Schizosaccharomyces pombe: one gene and its partners. The gene in region 1 interacts genetically with each later gene. Each region holds a gene or a part of one and is shown on either strand. Other genes may lie near its edges.

Evidence for each region.
Region 2: of cgs2 (region 1) and cut4, extra expression of one rescues a mutant of the other (dosage rescue), as found in Schizosaccharomyces pombe (one study listed by BioGRID).
Region 3: of cgs2 (region 1) and cyr1, a mutation in one rescues a mutant of the other (synthetic rescue), as found in Schizosaccharomyces pombe (2 studies listed by BioGRID, with this or other methods).

Annotation. Positions count from the first base shown.
Region 1 is NC_003421.2:1,809,834-1,814,642, reverse strand, and holds cgs2 (dual-specifity cAMP/cGMP phosphodiesterase Cgs2), read left to right. Parts: upstream 1-1,999; 5' UTR 2,000-2,011; coding exon 2,012-2,101; exon of another isoform or gene 2,102-2,162; coding exon 2,163-2,171; exon of another isoform or gene 2,172-2,217; coding exon 2,218-2,630; exon of another isoform or gene 2,631-3,082; coding exon 3,083-3,611; 3' UTR 3,612-4,306; downstream 4,307-4,809. Other genes in the region: SPRY domain membrane protein, specificity factor required for ubiquitination Ear1, read left to right, coding at 1-308; coatomer delta subunit Ret2, read right to left, coding at 4,384-4,659, 4,730-4,809.
Region 2 is NC_003423.3:389,233-396,537, reverse strand, and holds cut4 (anaphase-promoting complex platform subcomplex scaffold subunit Apc1), read right to left. Parts: upstream 5,629-7,305; 5' UTR 5,550-5,628; coding exon 1,173-5,549; 3' UTR 501-1,172; downstream 1-500. UniProt on the Schizosaccharomyces pombe protein: Component of the anaphase-promoting complex/cyclosome (APC/C), a cell cycle-regulated E3 ubiquitin-protein ligase complex that controls progression through mitosis and the G1 phase of the cell cycle.
Region 3 is NC_003423.3:2,817,967-2,825,720, reverse strand, and holds cyr1 (adenylate cyclase), read right to left. Parts: upstream 5,920-7,754; 5' UTR 5,714-5,919; coding exon 635-5,713; 3' UTR 501-634; downstream 1-500. Other genes in the region: SPOM_SPBC19C7.04C (uncharacterized protein), read left to right, coding at 1-29; N-end-recognizing protein, UBR ubiquitin-protein ligase E3 Ubr1, read right to left, coding at 6,496-7,754. UniProt on the Schizosaccharomyces pombe protein: Acts in glucose-induced cAMP signaling by catalyzing the synthesis of the second messenger, cAMP to activate PKA signaling and repress sexual development and gluconeogenesis.

The DNA.
Region 1 (4,809 bases):
AAGCAGGATATGTATTTATTGAAGCAAACATCAAGAAATGGAGACTCGCTCCTGCGGTTGGAAGCTTGGCTCCTCCTCCGTCGTATTCTACATCGCAGCCAACTATTAGTTGGGATGCAGCTAGTGAGTCTTCAGCGGGTACAACAACGCAGGGCGATACAAATAGACCCGACAAATCGAAAAATAGGTCACCTCCAATAAATTTTGATGGTACCTCGTATGATGCGGCTGGTAATGTTTTCAGTCCATCATCATCCAACAATCAAGCTTATCAAATGCACTCCATGCCTGCTACCGATGAAGTATAAGGAGTAATGTATAGCTTAGCACTAACAACCTTCACGCCAAAACCAAAGATCAAGTTGTGGAAATGTTTGTGCGTTGTGTTTCAAGTTAGTCCTAAAATCGAGAAATGCACTTTGTATATGAATTGAAGGGGATGTGTTGATGTTCAATGTATTTATTTTCTTTATAATAATTTCTTCAAAATTAGTTATAATTATTAATCTTAATTAAATTTACTCTATGTTTATTCGCTCAATTAATAAAAGGTTATTCACAATTTATTATGATTTTTCGTATAATGTTGCTATTGAGTCTATACTGTTAACATCAACCTTCATCGAATTCCGCTGGTGAGAAGTTTTAACGGAGGAATTCATAGGGTTGTCAATCCTGATAATGAAAGTGTAAAAGGAAATTTTCGAAAGCGCTTTTTTACATTTCTAATTTTGCGTAGTGTCATAAAATGCAATTCCTGGTAAAAACAAAGCCGCTTAATTATTAGTCTTGTTATCTTTTGCTGTAATAAAAGGAAATCTACCTTTTTATTCCAAAGGAACAAATAAAGCAATTCGATACTGCAGTGTGACATTCTTTGTGAGTAAAAAAAAAAGGGAGTAAAACAGAGAACGTATTCAAGTAATATTCTGAGAATTGTTTCTATTTCAAACTTTTATAGCAAGTTTCCAATATGCCTTTAGGTATAGACTTAATTGAAAAAAGACCGATCATTATCAAAGGGAAAATTGGGATATATTGCTAATTAAAATATCTACCTAAAGGCTGCTATGCACCTATGATGATTTCTCTCCATAGACCAACAAAAAGTTCAATGGAAAGCAATTTCAGCGGCACATACAAAAGATTCTTCAAATAGGTAATTTAGGAATGTTTCTTTTGATTATCTTGCATAAAGGAAAAGGAGATCATATTTTGAAAGCTCTTACAACGATTACCACCCTCCCTAACTGATGCAAACTGGTTCTCAGCAGCACTGACTGGAACTATCTAAGTACTCTATGAAAAAGTAAGAGTTAGTTTAGCATAATCAGATAAAATGACTGGGACTTACGAATCCTCAAAGTCCGATAAAGAACCAAGTTCATACGGAAATCTATATTACACGAGGTTCAGTTTTTTGTATGTATAATGAATTATTATTTTAAAAAACATATTAGTGTCCGATAGTTTACAATTGTTTGCTAGTCGGTCTCTTAAAGAGAAGGGCATAAACTTCTGCCGACATTGTTAAACAAGCAACAAAACTTCCCCTCAGAAATGTTAAACGATAAAAAAAGGAAACCTCTGGAATTATATAAAAAATAGCTCTCTCTCTTCTCGTTACGTGACATTCTTTAAGGGTGTATATTGAACCTTCGGAAAAATTGCTCTCATAAGGAAGTGATACATGTCAAACGTGTTTCATCAAAGTCGCATTTTTTTTCTTAATATCTTACTTAAAGCAGCAAAGCATAACTTCGTTCCTCTCCACTTAACGACTTCCATCCTTTTATTTATTCATAGCATACTTCTTCACCAAGCGGGCACATGAATAAGGATAATTAACACACTACACTATACCCCGAGTTTCTCCACATTTCGAGCATCGTTTATCGTACCCTAAATCTACGGTAGTAAATGTATGCTTGTAATAAATATGACGTCAACCGACATGTTTTTGTAGACTAGTGCATGCACCGGAGATCTGTAACTCTCCATAAGCCTAGCCATGCATGCAGCACTCGAAATCAAAGAAGCTGAATTTCAAACCGATCAAGTAGTAGGACTCGTAGAAAATTCTTTTACATTATATTCATTGGTATGAAAAACGAAAAATATTTTTTTTTTTGAAGAATTTCGACTAACGTTAACGAAAACAGGGACAAAATGTAAGAATTCAAACATTATGCATTGAGAGCCATGCTGACTTATTAGGGGGGTCCATTGGAGTCTTGCTGTAGCAGTCATTTGATTTCTGATGGCGCATTTCAAGAAATTATATCGCTGGATGGTGGAAGCCACCTATCGGCGTTGGTTGAGTTGATCCAGTCAAAACACCTGTCCGTCGATTCTTGGTCTTCCATCACCAAGTATGACAATTATACGGTGGAAAATGAATCATACGCAAAAGCCTGGCACCTTTCAGAGCAAAGGATTAAAACGTTTCTCATCACACACTGTCATTTAGACCACATCTATGGAGCCGTCATCAATAGCGCCATGTTTGGTCCTCAAAATCCTAGAACCATAGTTGGGTTAAACTATGTGATCGATACCCTAAAAAAGCACGTGTTTAATAACTTATTATGGCCTTCCCTCGACAAAGCCGGATTTATTAATTTTCAGGTGTAAGTAAATTCTTTCTCAATAGCTTCTGTCAAATGAAAATTTTTTCATTGTTTTAGTGAATAGGTTGAGGGTTGGGAAGGCAATGTTGAGTTTTGAAAATTTTTTATTTTCTTCATCTTAGTTGAAGAGATGTATGCTCGTCTTTTTTTCCTTCAAATCTATTTGCTGAACACACATTTATATATTTTGCATATATGTAAACTATCTGCTGACGCTTTGGTTGATTTGCATGGTTTCATGGTACTTGTGCAATTTTTTTTGTGAGACAGTGATATTATTTGAAAGATTGCAAAGATTGCAATAATAATTATATCTCTTTTTCTTTCACTGTTCTAATATCTTTTGTTCTTGTTCAAACAAGTTAATGAATTTAACTCTTATGCGAATTTGCTAAATCAACCCCATCGGCATTTCTCTTTCTCATTTGACAATGAGACTAACCTCTTTTTAGGGTTGAGCCTTCCATGTATACTAGTTTAACGACTACTTTGTCTATATTGCCCTTTCCCGTTAATCATGGCTCCTCTTTCGGTCAAGAGCTAAAGTCGTCTGCATTTTTATTTAGGAATAACCTATCCGACAGATACTTTTTGGCTTTCGGGGACGTCGAACCCGATATGGTAGCCTCAGAACCGCTTAACATTCATATTTGGAGAGCTTGCTCTAGTTTAATTGCTCAAAGAAAGCTTTCTCATATTCTTATCGAATGCTCCACTCCTGACATCCCTGATACTCTTTTGTTTGGTCATTTTTGCCCTAGACATCTAGTGAACGAGCTTTGTATACTCCAATCTCTGGTCCAGAGTTATGGCGTTATCATGCCTACCCTTACGTGTTTGCTCACTCATTTGAAATCACATCCTCTTCAGTCGGCGAATCCTGCCGATGTTATATTGGAGCAGTTAGAGTCGTTGTCTTCCAAAAGTTCTCTTTCAGTCACATTTAAAATCCTTCAGCGTGGTCAATTTTATAAATTTTAATAGCATCCCAGGGTCATGGTCATATATTCATTATATTTTTATTTTTTTTTTTTAATTTCTTTTAGGTTTCTCCATTTATTCGTTACGCCCTTTTATCCTTCCGCCGTTGCCGCATGTCTTTCTATTATTGAGAATTCTGTTGGAGGAATTTTGACTTTGTTGTTAATTATTGAATGCTAAAGCAATTAATTATTACCTTTTTTTATTTTTCATTACCAGTTCATCGTACCTCGCTTTGCTGGTTTACTCTCATTAGAATTTCACGCTTTTCTCATCGGACACTTTATTTTCAAAAATAGAATGCTTTTTCTTTGTTTGCCAATCTGCTTTACTTTTTAAATAGATTTCTAATTTGGTTTTTTGTTGTTGTTGACGAGGTTTATAGAACGATGGGTTAAAAGTCTTAACCAGATTATATACTTGAATAAATGGGTTATATTATATGACGATTTCTCTGTTCTAATATTGTTTACCTAGAAACAAGAGGAAGCATTCCTAAAGGGTAGCGGGTATATTAGTTGAGTGATGAATCAATATAGGTTTGCTCTGCTTTTTTCGATTGGATAGACTAGGAAGTATTCTGGAGGGTATGAAAGGAACAAAGTGTTCTATTACAGTTGGTAATGGTCGACTCTTGATTACGATGTTTAATTTGGGATAGAAAAATGATTATTATTTCTAGTTATCGCATATGATCGTAGGAAAAGCACATTACAAAGGGGAAACGAACCAAAACGGATGCAATGATCATAAAGGGCGCTGGAATAGTAAATTAATATAACAAGCTAGTATTCTTCTTCTTTCCAAGTTGCATTCCTTTCGCTTTGGGAGCAGAAGAAGCCTTTGCTGCAGCGTGATAAGACTCCATGGCAGATTCGTCTTCAACATTAGACGTAGCAAAGGTTGTATTAACTGTTTGATACCCAATGGATTCATACGCATCTGCACTGGGAAGATTCTGAGCCGCCCGTCTTGCAGCTTCTTTCTTTTGTAATTCAAGTTGTTTGATGCGGCGCTTCCTTTCTTCAGTTGCTTCAATTTCTTTGTTCTAGAAAGTGCATTAGTAAAACCATACAAAAAAAATTTCGATGACTCCACCCCTATGCTTCAACACGTACTCTTGATACAATTTCTTGAATTTTCTCTTCGTGACTCTCCATTTCCAAATAAGTTTTGATCTGTGTCAAAGATACATTGT
Region 2 (7,305 bases), on another chromosome or scaffold:
TGTTATTCCAAAAGTACAAATGAACACGAACGATAATTCGATACACCTGAGACAAAAAATAAGAAGATAAGCTAAATCGACTCTGAGTCCTTCAAAGATAATCTATAGCAGACAAAAATAGATAACAATAGTTATAGCAAGCGTTCAAAAATACAAATTAACATAAACCGACGTTACAGATTCACGGTTTTCACAACAATACTGAGCCTTTCACTCTTAGCGCAGAACCAAAGGTGTATTAAGTAAAACTACAAGTCTTTTTGATACAGAAAGCTTTTGTAGAATTAGCGGCTTTCGAGAAACGAGCTATTCACACTTCCTATGCGTTCGCAAGCTTCAATTTGTGTTTTGCTAACGAAAGAAGTGTTGTGTCATAGGATGCAAGGTTGAAGTCATGCCCTTACTACCCCTCAAAAACGAAGGAATTTTTAATGAGGCGAATAATCGTACGTAAATTATAATAGGGGAATTTAATGTAGATCGTTACAAAACTTCAGCATCTCAGTGCATGTCGGATTTAAAGACTTCTATTTAAATTTTAAGATTGAATTCGTCAGGTGGATTTAGATGGTTTAATACAGTGTATTAATTATCGGGTGTAATTCATTAAATTATAATATTTGGAACCGTTACTCGAAAGTCATAGATTCGAACATCAAGAACTTATGTAAACAGCATACAACGATATAGTGTTAGTTAGTAGCTCGAAGTGTCATGCTTAAATCAATTAATTAACGAAAGGAGGGAAAAGATATAGAAAAAGGATAAAAAAGCTAATCTATTTTCAACGGCGCCTTGAGACAGGCGGTATTACCCCTTGAAGAACCATGGGTGCTTAGTAGTTGTCGCAATAATATTCTTTTTACTTTGCCCAGTGAAATAGTTTGAGCATCAGTATTCCAATTAACAATTTATTATTAACTTCGATTTCCTTTTAACAAACCATTATTTGAAGATAGCTATTAATCATGATCGTGAAAAAAGTGTTGCATTGGATATGCCACCTTGTATATTAATTGAGACATTAAGGTATTTATACAAGTCGTTAATTTTAAGGGGTTCTATTTTTTTAAACTTCAATTTTCCTTTTGAAGGATTGATATGATGGAAAAGATTTTTGGAAACCATTCAGCCCATTAGCATATCATATAATTAATAAACGTAGTTCATAATTATACAGATTCTTCATTATGATTATGAGAATACACATACTCCCATACTCTCAAACTCAAATCTTCTACCAAATCACGAGAAAGGAAAAGATATTGACGGGAGTGAAACTTATTCAAGAGCACACCAGTCCAACAAGACTCAAAAAATTGTAACAGTATTTGCAAACTTAATAAACGGTCTCTAGTTAAATTATCAAAGTCCATAGACAGGAGTAATTTAACGCCTAGAGAAGTTTTATTATTTGATTCTTGTAACGATGCAACGTTTAAGGGGCTATTCGAGCTTTGGAACAACCTGCTTGTTTTTACCAAGTTCCAAAGTGGGCTTGAGGTATCTTTAAGCTTAGGGAATAGATTAAGTGGCTCTTCTTTTGAACTTGTTCGGTCATAAGGCATCAGTGTCAGTGTTTGTGATTCCCTTAATAGTTCACGGTAATCACTGTTATTGTCCAAATCAATTTTTAAATTCCAATACTTATCACCCAACGTCGACACTGAACTAATGCTATCGTACGGCGGCAAAAGTATAGGCGCTTCTAGTTTTTGAACTGCGCCGCTTTTTTGAACAACATTTAATGGCACTATGCATGGCTGTTTGGTATCTTGATTTCTCGGGATAATACAACGTTCTTCCACAGCTAAAGCCCACAAATTTCGAGCAGCTTGCAAATGTGCACGATTATCTTGAGTAGTCCTGGGAAATTGCGGATAAAATGATATTAACAAAGCCGCGATTGCTAAATTACTGCGAGACAAACTATACCTTCCTCCACCTAGCGAAAGAATTCCGAGCGCCATATGAGTAGCCATTTGAGCCCCGTAGTTCACAGGCTCCATTCTCCCATGTAGTACTCTTAACCTTCTCAAAACATCTAGATCACAATAACCCGCCATAACACAAGAAGAAGACAAAGCGACAATTTGTGTACAGCGAATTACAGTCACTGCAGTTACTCTTTCATCGTGTGTTTTAGCAGGCAGATGACACAACCGAATGAAGCTATCTAAAAAGTTGATGAGAATTTCCTTGGCTTTCGGATTACCCGTTCCAGCAAACCTTAAACCTAAAGAAAAACAAATCCCTGCTAAGACATTATAAAGCAGCAAGTCGTCAGAAGAGAGAACCTTTTTTTCCTGTAAATCAAATTGTGAGAGCATTATATCAGGAATTTGATATTTCACCCATTCATAATCTGCTTTGACTTCATCCCACATAATTAAGTTTTTACCGGCAACTCGCAAAAGTATTAGATCTGGACGATAGAAATCAAGAAGATATCGCGATTTAGGAATATCAATTTTTTTCGCAACTTCCAAATCATTAGTCTTCATATATATCATAGTCAAAGCCATAATGGCCCCGGGAGAACCGGCTTCTAAAGACTGAAATGTAGCCTGACTAGATATTCCCACTTGTAGCCTTGAAACGAGTTTTAAATCAGACATGCCTGGAAGATTAGATCCTCTCCCTAAATTAATTAAACCAAGAGAAAATCCAGCAGCTAACTTATAGCCTTCATTCTTTAGTTCGCTTTCATTAGAAGCCAAAATCTCTTCCATGGTCACTTCAGACATGCGTCTATGACACGAATCATGAAATAATAAACCAATTCCTAGAATTCCTGCAGTCTGAGTTAATGGTGAAATATTCAATTCATTAGATCCAACTGGCAGTAATGCTGAAATGTGCACACTTAGCAATTTTGTAACCTTTGCATCCATACTCCCCAAATACGAGGATGCAAGTCCAAGTAAAAGGCCTATACTGGTTGTATCATGCTTGCTAGTAAGATAAATAAAAGAATGCCAGGTAGCAAGGGCCTTTAAATGACCGTTTAGCCCTAGACCAAAAAGAAATCCCGCATGGTAAGCAGTCAAAGTTTCAGGTCGATTGAACATAATCCAACTAGTGTTTATTTCCTTTGAAAACTTAGATATCGATAATCCTAATGCAACGCCAACATTAAACTCTGGCCACTCGGTTAATTCCTGTGTTACGAACTCTTTATTAGGTTGTATAATTAAAGTTCCAGGATGCAAGTGCAATGTAAAATTAAATAATCGTGGAGTGACCTTTTCCGTAGGTAAAGGATTTTTACTACCATACGTAAGCATACCCGCTCCAATTGGCACGGACAATGTTCTAACGCAAATGCATTGAGCAACTTTTTGTTGCATTGGTACTGAACTCAAGTCGACATCAAAGTGTTCAGTCATTATGGTGATTTGACTTGAATAATTTAAAAGTTTATTCACTTCTGCCAGTCGTCGATCCTCTCTAAAAATCATATCCGTTACAACCTTATAAGGATGAAACGACTGCGTGTCAACAAGTGTAGAATCGGTAACTGTACTAGTGAGTGCTTTTATTTCTTTGACTTCTTGATCCTGCTTATTAAAAACCCATTTAGGTGTCTTTGGATGTAAGAATGAATCAACGTCAAGGCGATTGACTAATCGAAGCTCTTCGCTTTCCCAATTCGGAGAATACTCTTCAGCGGCAATCTCGAGTACTGTAAAAATAATGCATAAAATTCCAAATGGGTATCTTTCACACCTCTTTCTTGAAATTCCTAACCGTACCATTTCTTCAACTAAGTTTTGAAGGGTCATATTAGGATTTAGCAAGCAATCGAGTAACTGCATTAAAGAAAGGGTTTGGGGAAACATAGTAGAGCAAGAATGTGGTAGCCCATAACTTTCCAAGCCATAAAAAGGTACTGTAGATTGCGACCTTAAACATTCAATAATCCACTGTAAAATCGATGTTGGACCAACAGGTTCCTCAACATCAACTTGAATCGATAAGGGTATAGATAGAAATGTTTCAGCGATATCAAAGTTATAATACTCGCAATACCGTGGCCACTTCAACCACGTGGTGATTTGAAGTAATAAAGCTACAAGCTGATCTTTACGAGGCTTTACAACCGAATCCAACCGCAATTCTTCAGATATAAAATGTAAGGTAATAGCTAAGGGCATCAAGTAATTTTTGAATGTTGAGTAATCAAGATGAGATGAGAGCTGAGAAGCAATAAGTATTTCTTTTTTAAAATGAAACTTAGAGGACAGACTGTAAGCTTCATTGCAATCTTCAATTGGTTCAACATGAACTTTATCTCGAGAAAAGAAAGTGAAACAGGCGAGTATTGAAGATATGAAAGCCTCATCATGGCTAAGCTTAAAAGCAAAAAGCGCGTAAAGATGTCCAGTATAAAAAATTTCATATTCACGCAAGGGCAAAACATAACGAATAACACTTAAACACCATTTTACCAAGCTATTGGATGCTCTGTTATCTAGAGATATATACCTCTGCACTCCATCGGTGTCCTCTAAGTAAAGTGTGGCACCATGCACACGAAATGAACGAAAGGTACCCTCAATAGGCAAAGATGGCGACATTGGAGACTCGAGACTCACCTTCCCCTTTGAAGACAGAACAACAATTTTTTGCAAATGCTTAGATTTAATAGCACTCAAATTTATTGCATGTAGTTGAAGCGAATCTAAGAAGTAAGGAGATCTGTCACGAACAAGGCGAAACAACATCATGTAGCCTTTTTCAAGCTCTTTCACTAAAGTGGTGATGACCAAAACACCATTTCCAAGGATTGAATCAAACGAAGTACTTCCGGTGATAGGAAAAGACTCTATGTGAGAAAATATGGTCGAATAAGCGAGTCCTTGTTCCTCGAATTTTTCAGAAAGACGAGTATTGGCGGTATAATGGATAGAATCAGAGCGAGTTAAGTCAGGATTCTTTTCACGAGAAAAAGAGCTTTCCCTTCTTCTGTTACGTGAGCTTTTTATTGACTGGTCTGACTCTGGATCAATAAAGCGACTCCTCCAAAAACTCAATTTTTTTTCTTTTTTATTATGTGTTACGACGATCTCTCCCACGACATAAACGATTGAATCAAACAGAGATAGTATTTTTTTTCCGTCAAATTTTATTAACGTAAGTTCATCTAAAGGATCGTTTAGACAAAAAATATGAGGCAAGTCAGTATTCAGATTCTCATCGCTCGAACGATGACGCTGAAGATATAGTCCACTTGGTGAACTCCATGCGCTTTCTGTTGAAAAAGGAACGTTTATAATATAAGAATCATTATTATTGTCGCCCACATAGTATACATATCCAATGTCGTCCAGAATCACAACAATTGCCTTTTTTCCAGATGCAAATGTAGTAATAAGGGCAGCATGTATCTTTTGTTGATCTACGGTATAATTAAATACACGATTTAAATGGTCATTCACAATATAATGCACAGCATCTCCAATGATTTCAACCCGATCATTCTCTTGCAAATCTAATGAATCCTTTAATTCAGGGTCTTGAATAACATTTGTTTTTAATTCTAGCATTTCAGCATCTAGTAACGATAATCAATAACTCAGTTCCGTTTACAATTTCGCATTTCCTTTTTAGCATGAAGTTGTAGGTGAAATCTGAGTGTCAGCGTATATCTAGTGTAAACAAACCAGCATCTCTTACCAAACTTACGTTAGCTAGACAATTAAAAAGTCAACCTACAGAACTTAGTGCTTTTACAAAATCAATTAAATTTAACTTGGATCTTTATATTCCCCAATTCCAGTATTTATCACGCATTGGTTTATTTGAAGACTAGAAATCTTTTTTTTGGAATACTGATAATTAAAAATACTCTAACGGGAAATTGTTTTATGCATTAAAATATCATTTTTGTTTCTCTTTTTTACAGGAATTTAGTTATAAAATCATGTCGATATAGACGACCGACTTGCCATTTCAAACTACAAGTCAGTACTTACATCCCCAGTGTCGAGGATCCATATGGAATATAAGATGCCTTACTATAGGAGTGTGTACGACAAAAGCAAGCAGTAAATTCCTTGAAGTTTAGAGTGAAGGCTTTGGGTGTTTCTATCATAACATGCAGGACTACTTAGACATTTTATTACTGTATAAAGGTTGAGCCATATAGCTGTATAGGGGGATGTAAATAATATTTTACCATACTTTATTCATTTATTTATGAAGATTTCAATGTTAAATATTATTTGGGTATAATAATGTTTGCTATATAAAAGGTAATTTCTGTCTACAGGATAATTATAGGTGCTAAAGCATAAAAGGTAACGATTGCAAGGCAATTTGTTTTTGGTCGAGTAATAAACAAAAAACTTCAAAATGAAGGACTTGACTATTTTTAAATTTTACTAACTTACGACATTTTTAATATGGAATGAGCTTAAGGATCTTTTGCCATCGTCTTGCATTGTGACAAACTTGGTGAGTATTCTGCTAATTTTCTAATATCTTCCATAAAAATATTGCAGTAACTTGAATGGAACAAGTGGTTTGTGCTTGCCTCTCGTTTAATCCTAAAGGTCACTAGTTTGTTTATATATTAGTTTGTAACATGATTATAGTAGAAAGCGTCACGAAGTCAGCGAAAAATTAAGAATTGAGGAACAAATCTAACTATGTATGAAGTGAGGAAACCCTTAGAAACCGAACATACTTGCAATGGGCTCTGAAGGCAAAAACTCTGCAACCCTGGAGTATCAAAAATGTATTTGGTATTCAGAAAAACTCTGCTTCAATTTGTTCTCATTAGCTTCGGTTATATGTTGCTTAAATCTACAACAATGATCAGGCCCCACATTTCAATGATTTTTCGCGAGAGAATAACTCTAATGAATTTATGAGTCGCATATTGACTATATAAAGCCAGTGAAACAAATGGCTTATAATGCAAAAAAATACGGCTATGAGCCTTCTAAATTAATATCTCCATAAAGTAAATATCTTAGATAATAAACTGTGGATTTCTTTGCAACAATTTCTATGCTCTATAATGTACTATCCATCCTGCTTTTGCAATAAATAGTTTATCATAATTTAATATACTTACATTCTATAATGTCAAATTAGCATGACTTGTTGAGGTTCTTTATGTTAAAAGTTAATGATACAATAAACCAGAGCAGCTAATGTAGGAAATTCAATGACAAACAAAATAGTCTGAAATAAAAAGAAATGATTTTTCTATAGACCCAATTAGTAATTCTTTGAAATGAAAAATGATTGCGATTGATCCACCAGAAGTTATAGAACGCTATGGGCAATATTGTA
Region 3 (7,754 bases), on another chromosome or scaffold:
AGACATCTTCTCGTCATTCTAGGCTTTAGACTACTATTGTTGAAGCTCCGTCTTTTTCCTTATTTTTTTTCTATCTTTCATTTCTCAAGTTTTTTTATACCGGGCTGTCAAGTGTTTTGATTCCAATTTTGTTTATTTAGTATTTTTATTGCTTCATTCTTTCCAAATTTTTTTGCTGTATTTTTAGTTTAGTTACGATCTTACTCTTACGATTTCTTTTTCATTTTTCTTCTATTTTGCATTTTTTTTTATCTTTATTTGGGGTTTACATTGTTATCAAGTGTTATACCGAGTTTCCCCCATTGTGTTTTTTTACTCCTATACCATTTTGCATGAAAATTATTTTATTTCGTATTTCTTTAATACAATTTTTCTTTTTTTTTACTTTTGTATCAGTCTACTGTCGTTCCGTTGTTCAGTTTCTTATTGTTTACTAATAGTAAATAAAAGTTGATTTGCCTCGAAACACGTACGTTAATTTGGTATTCCATAATTCCAACTTTAGGGTATAGCAAAAAAAAAAAAAATTTTATTAAAAATATGCAAATTATATATACAAAAAATAAATATATATATATAAACTATTTATGGGGTTAAACATTATTTAAATATAGCAGTCATTATATGCATTCATTTAGCCAGTGTGTCCAAGCATTTGACTGACACAATAAATAGTATTCTCGATACGCAAAGTCAGACGGTAGAACAATGAATACTCCTCGGCCTGGTTTACGGGAGCTGCCAGACCGGTATCGCAAGGCGGTGGTTCAGGAAACCCATGCAGTATAGCGGCATGGTCTTCAAGACGCTCACAAAGTTCATAAAGTAATTGATACTGTTGGTCATCAAAAATACAACCTTCATATCCACCAGTACTCTCTGATGGTGATACGTTGCGCAAGGATGAAACCGATCTCTTCCCAGAACCACCCTCCTCTCCATGGACAGATTTTGAATCACTCAATCTTGCTAACATGGGTCGCAAGCTGTTGCTTCTACTACGAACGGGAGTATAAGTCTGAGTTTCCGGGAGGGCTGTGGGTGTTCCCAAACTTCGGCTCTTTATCAATCTCTCCAGTCTTCCTTGCAATTGCACAGGATAAACCAATGAAATCATTTCAGTAGTATCCAAACCTTTTAACTTAAATTCTCCAAGGTTATGGATAATATAACCGATTTGTTTAAGAGCACGAACTTCCATTTCGTTGACATTCGTCTTCTCTGATGACATTGTTTCTGAATCAAGCTGATTCAATACAGATACCACCTCAGCAGAAACAGCAATTTGACCACCATCAGCGACTGATACAACCCTAGATGTTCTGTTTACTACAGGCCCGTAATAGTCCATACGTCTAGTGATGGGATCTAGTTCACTCACGGTTACACCATAATTGACACCAATTCGAACACTAAGCCCTCGATATAACACCTCATTTTTTGAGCCGAGTACCAACCGTCCTTGCACTGACTCAACTATTTCGTTGGGCCAATCTGCCGAAAGTAACTGTAATTGTACTGAAAAACACCAAAGTAATGCAGCAGGAACTGTTTGAAAACAAACCATAAACGCATCTCCTTCGGTTTTTACTTCATAGCCTCCAGTTGCACGGAGTTGCCGACGCATAATAGTATTATGAGTTTTGATCGCAGATCTCATTGCAATAGGATGTCTTTCCCACAATAATGTGGAATTCTTAATATCAGTAAAAACCATGGCAATACAACCTTTCGGGGGAGAGACTTCTCTATTCATTCGTGCTAAAGAAGAATCATCGGGTAAATCTTGGACAAATGACATATTATCGTTCTTTTCAGAAATTGCTAAAGTTTTTTCATCCCCCCGTAGTTGGTTGAAATTAAGGGAATTCTCTTCAAACAATCCGTTCAATTCGACGATAACTACAAGAACATTTTTTTCTGCACCATATGCAATAGCATAGTCACGTAGCTTCGTAGAGGCTAATAGAGGAGAATGTCTGTTGGCACGAACAACGTCAATTACTGTGCGTTTTGATAATACGCTCCAAAATTCCTGATTTGCTAGAATGATAAATTCGTTTAGTTCAGATAAGTACTGCACATTAACATAGGGAACTGCTTGGACGCCAGGAAATTGAGACAAACGACCAATAGCACGTGTAGTGGTCGATTTTATTTCACCAGATATGAAACCACATGAATCAACTATGCGACGAATTTCATCCCTATTGTACACATCATGCATGACACTTAAAGTTGTAGGTTCCGAATCATTTCTCGTAGACATTATAGCCATTGATGTGCCCACATTGGCAACGAAAGCTCTTGTATCCCTGACGTACACTAAGATAATGCTAACTCCTATATCCAAGCAAGAACTGTCCATAGAATAACCCTTTTCTGAAATATTCATAGTGGTAACGTAATTACTATCCACGTCTCCTTCTGAAGACTTCCTAAGGTCATAATGAATGACATTTCCTAATTTTTTGTTTAAACGAAGAAATCCTCTTCTCAAAGCGTTACAAATTTGTTCAGAAGAGGAATCTGCTGCATTAATCTCATGCGCTAGGCATGAAGCCAAATTGTCGTACACAAATTTTAAAACCCGGTTGTTTTTTCCAGCGCTGATGTCACTGTCAAGCACACAGTATAAAGATGATTGAGGATGCAAAAAGTTGTTAACAACTAATTCACATGCAGAGATGACGGGAATAGAACGAGAAAGGTATCCACATACTCCATACCTCAAAATGTTAGGTTGAGGAGAGTTGCGTTGAATAAAATGGTTTAGAACATCAGAAGGCGCATTAGAAAATTTTGTATTCAAATCCATGATGCTCAAAAACTTTAAATTCTTCAAATATGATTTTGTAAAGTTTGTATCTTCATGCTCAGAGAATCGAAACCATGTGTTACCAGATAGATTAAGGTATTCCAATTGAGGAAGTTTAGTTAAACTCTTCTTTTCAGCTTTTTCTACTGCTAAATTCTGCAGATTATTGGTACTTATGTCCAAAAATCTTAAACTTTTAGACAAAGCTTCATTTTTAGGAAAAGAGGAAAGACGATTTCCATTCGCGTACAAAGTTTCAAGTAGGACCTGCGCTGTACTGGAAATGGAAAGATTTGCAAGCTCATTTCCTGACACAAAAAGGTGTTTAAGATCAGAAAAATTTTGGAAAAACTTGCTTGGAATTTCCGTTAAATAATTGTAAGATAAATTTAAGACTTTTAAACACTTAAAGTATTCTAAAGCCGTAAAACAGTCATTGCCCAATCTGTTGTCCACCAAGTATAATTCTTCAACGGTAGGCATAACAAATTCTTGGGAGGAGAGGCTCGATACCGGATTTCCTGATAAAGTACGCATGATTTTTAATTGGCTAATTGTCCTAGTTAATTTTTTTGACGTTGCAACTGGTAACTTGATTTTCTCCAGGATATTGGAAGACAGGTTAACAACTTTTAGTGAAGAGACTTGCCATACTTCCTCAGGGAATATTTTGATATTATTTGCATGTAAATCCAGGTGAACTAAATGCTTTAATTTGCCAAGGTTTGGTGAAACATAAGACATTTCACAGTTCGTGCAAGACAAATATTTCAAATTTTGCATAGCAGAAATTGCATCGGAAATGCTAGTAAAGTGGTTGTAATTCACTTTCACTGTTTCTACATTTACTAAAGTTTCAATGACAGAATCCTTGAGCCCAATAAGCTTCGCATGTGAGATATCAAAGTAGACGAGATTGCTATAGCTAAATGCCGGATCAATTGTAGTCAGTGGACAAAACGAGAAGTCGATGAATGTAGCTGACGGATTGGAATATTCGTAAAAAGAAAGTAAATTGCAAGCTACATTGATGCTATTTAGTTTCGGACATTCAGATAAACTGGCGATGTTAGTAATCGCATTATAACTAAGGTCAATTGTTTCCAGATTTTTTAGCAAGCCTATTTCCTGTGGAAGCCGATTAGATAAATCATTAAATTGTAGATATAGATGCTTCAATTTAACAAGAGAGCCAATTTTGCTAGATATCTGTGACAATAAATTATGCGAAAAGTTAAGAGTCTCCAATTGGGACAACTCAGTAATTATTAAAGGGAAAGTCACAAAATTATTGTAGGATAAATCAAGATAGGTTAGATTCACCAAATATCTAGTAGAATGGGGAAGGAAGAACAGCTTATTATTAGCTATATTCAATTCTTTCAGAGAATTTCGACTAAGCCCAGAGAATATAAGAGGATCCAATTCATATATATCGTTACGAGACATGTTCAAAACTTCCAATTGGCGAAGAGCAGTAATCGGTTTTCCTCTTGGAGACCTTAAATTATTGGAAATGTCTAACCGCTTAAGCTTGACACAGCGCTCCATGAAATCTAAAGGCAGGTCCAGCGATAAATTGTGCGAAACATTCAACGAGATAAGTTCATGGGCATAGGGATAGATCTTTACCGGAATAACCTCCAGGTTTGACCTACTAATGTCAAGGTTCGCAGTAATTTTTTTTTCAGAGAATTTACGCAATACATCCGCTCCAATATCCATCGTAGTAAACACCAATCTAGCAACACTATAATTATCTTCTTCATTTATTTCTTCATCGGAAGTTACCTTACACCCAAACAAACTCAATAATCGTTCAAATATAATGCATGGCTGTTCATGAGGCAACAAAATACGTTCTGTATTGAATTGGATTAATAAGAGGTAAAAATTAGCAGACGAGGGAAGAAAAAATAACCTTGCTAACAGCTTAATCACTTCATGAGTTTGTATGCCAATAGGGCAAATGAATGATACGGAAGTTCGATCATCACGGTATACTCGAAGAAAGAACTCTTTCTTTCTATTGCCCAGGGAAGGACGAGCAAAAAATCTAGTAGTAAAAACCTGCTTTGGAATAGCCTCAGTGGGCAAACTAGTTCCCCAACTCTCCGGAGCTTTCCAAGAATCATCGGATAAAATGGAAGGGTACGGTAAAAACTTCTTCCAAGGGCTATCATAACTATCTCTATGATAATCGAGGTCCAGGATATGAGCCGCAGAAGCAGGGATTCCATCATCATCACTATTCCTGGGTAATTCGTGTATGCTACCTTCCAAACTAGCTGGCCAATTGTTATTAAGAGAATCACGTTGAAACTCCACACTGTCACTGTCATCAGAAATCGGTTCTGGAAAAGTTAGATTGGTAAATGACTGATTCAGGTTTTTGTCGAAAGATTCTCTGTCCTTATCAATAAGTCTTCGAAGGCCTGCTTCTTTAGAAATTGCACAATTAGACGAGTTATTTTCTTTGTATGGCTTTATCCCAGCACTACGGGTATCACGTGGCACTTCAGACTTTTCAGAGCTTTCTCTTGCAGCTAAGGCGGTATCCGATTTAGTACGTCCCGTGTCAGATAAGCTAAAGTTCTCATCCGGTTCATAAAAATGGAAAAGCACGCTTTTGCTAGGTACTGCAGGAGTGCTAGGATAGGTCTTAAAAGCTTCGACAGGTCGTCCAGAATTACCGACAGGTTGAGTGCAAGGTGAAAGAGCTTCATGGGAGTCATTACAGAGATTTGCTTCGGTTATTTCTGGTATATCATAGTTCACAGACGTCGCTGAGTCATCGTCCTTCTCGTCAAGGTCATCAAGCCAGGATATACCTGTTTTAAAATGTTCAGGCGGGTTTGGAACAGCTGACTTTAACAATCGCTTGCTTTGATCCATTAGTGGCAATTTGCATCCTTCCTAAGAATCTGTAGCACCTTCGTTTCAAAAATACCACTATACGCGAATTTTGGACAAGGAAAATTCAATAATGGTTATATCCCTATCCAAGGAAGGAATATTGAATTTATAGAACTAGTATTTGCTCTATTATCCTAGTTCCAACACCAGCGTTTCTTTGTCTGATTATATCACTTGTTAGGTTTAGAACAAGAAAGGGTTTGGGTTCCAACACCTCATGTATCTTCCTAACTCTAAACTATATTCCAGAGTGGTAATTTCCAACACTATGTGTTCTCAGTGAATTAGTGAGGAAGAAACTGTAAGGCGCGTTCGAATACTGCGTACGTCACTATTTCATCGATTTGTAAACAAATCTACTGAATATACTAGATGAAGGCGGTCTTGAATTAATTACTATGATTTTTTTATTTTTTTTTTTGAAGGCTTTCCATTACTCCTTCCATTAATTAACATTGGATTTGACTGATGAGTTAAAAAAGCTTCTTTTATCAAAGTTTCAAACTGAGTTTTAAAGTATTCATGAAACTTTCATCTAATTTTATCCTTAAATGATACTCGCCCCTTAAATATAAGGGCAATACGATTGACTGTTTGAATGAGACGAAATGTTTGTAAAGTAACCTATATTTACAGGTCAATGAATATGAATTAAATGATAAAATGTCAAGTTTTGGTATATATATCCTAATAAATAATCAAGGTGTTTGAAGCATTAAAAAAATTAGTAGCTTAGATCACGTAAACTCCCATTGTTTAGCCTAAAGTGTTTCCCAACCTCCGGTGTCTGGATTCGCATCCAGTTGTCGAGCAATATAAGAAGGAATAGATCCGTTTAGCCACATCGTTCGTACTGTTTCATCATAACGTTTTTGTGATAGATATTGAGAGCGGCCACGACGCAATCCCAAATCTGTCTCTCCATACGCATCCAAAAATGGAGCTACAGAGAAGCTTCCTACAGGTGGATTGAGGTAGAGAATAGCGCATTTTTTGACAATAAGAAAAATTCCAATGTCAGAAGCGCATTGTTGCATATGAAGATTACATTCTCCAATACCATTAAAGGAACAACAATGACTTTGGAAGCATAAGAGCTTCCCACAAAATAAACATATCGCTGGTTCCATAGGTTCAGTTAAACATTTCGAGCATCGCCTGGCCAATAGTAACTCAAAGACTTTATCCAATTCATACGGTAAAGAAACTAGTTCATAAATTCCAGGGTAATAAGCGCGAGGAAAATCGCATAGAGGACCAGTCTCTGTAAAGAAATTACACCAGTGCTTTATAAGGCTCCATTCTGTGGAAGATGCCGTAAGACAAAGATGATTAGATAATTCAATAACACCTGGAATATGCATTTTTGTTTGTAAACGTGATAATTCTGAATTTTGAAAGTTTAAATTCGGTTGCGTCTCAAATGAAACTCCATAGCGGCAATACCAAAGCAAAGCACATTTTCGAAGGAAGATTAGAGAAAACCTTTCCAATAGTTTATACAGTGTAAACAAAAGATGAGGATTATTTAGATCATCCTCCGTACAACAATCAAAATTGATTAATCCTGCTCCGTCGACACGAAGACTTTTCCAAATTTGGATAACTAAGTGCTCAAACCCCTTTAGCTGCTCATAGTCAAAGGCTTCAAATTCAACTGATTCCATACATTTCAGTAAAGAGTTTCTTTGTGACAAAAGAATCCATAAGTTTCGAACTATATCGGCAGTATAGTATAATTGCGTCAAGTAGTGAAACGATTCGTCACATGATAATAAACCAGAGACACTGGCTTCGGCGAATTCTCGAAATGTATCCTTCACAAGTAACGGCTCAACTCTATCATCAGTAATAGATTTGGTAACCGGTGAATCTAGAGAGGGCAATAGTCGCCCAAATATCCTTTTTTGTTGGCAGAAACTAATAAATTCAAACTCTTGAATTGAACCCCCAATACGCTTCTGTGAATCATGTGCACATAACAAAGTATAAGTTTTGATAGATTCAGATAAAATCCTTA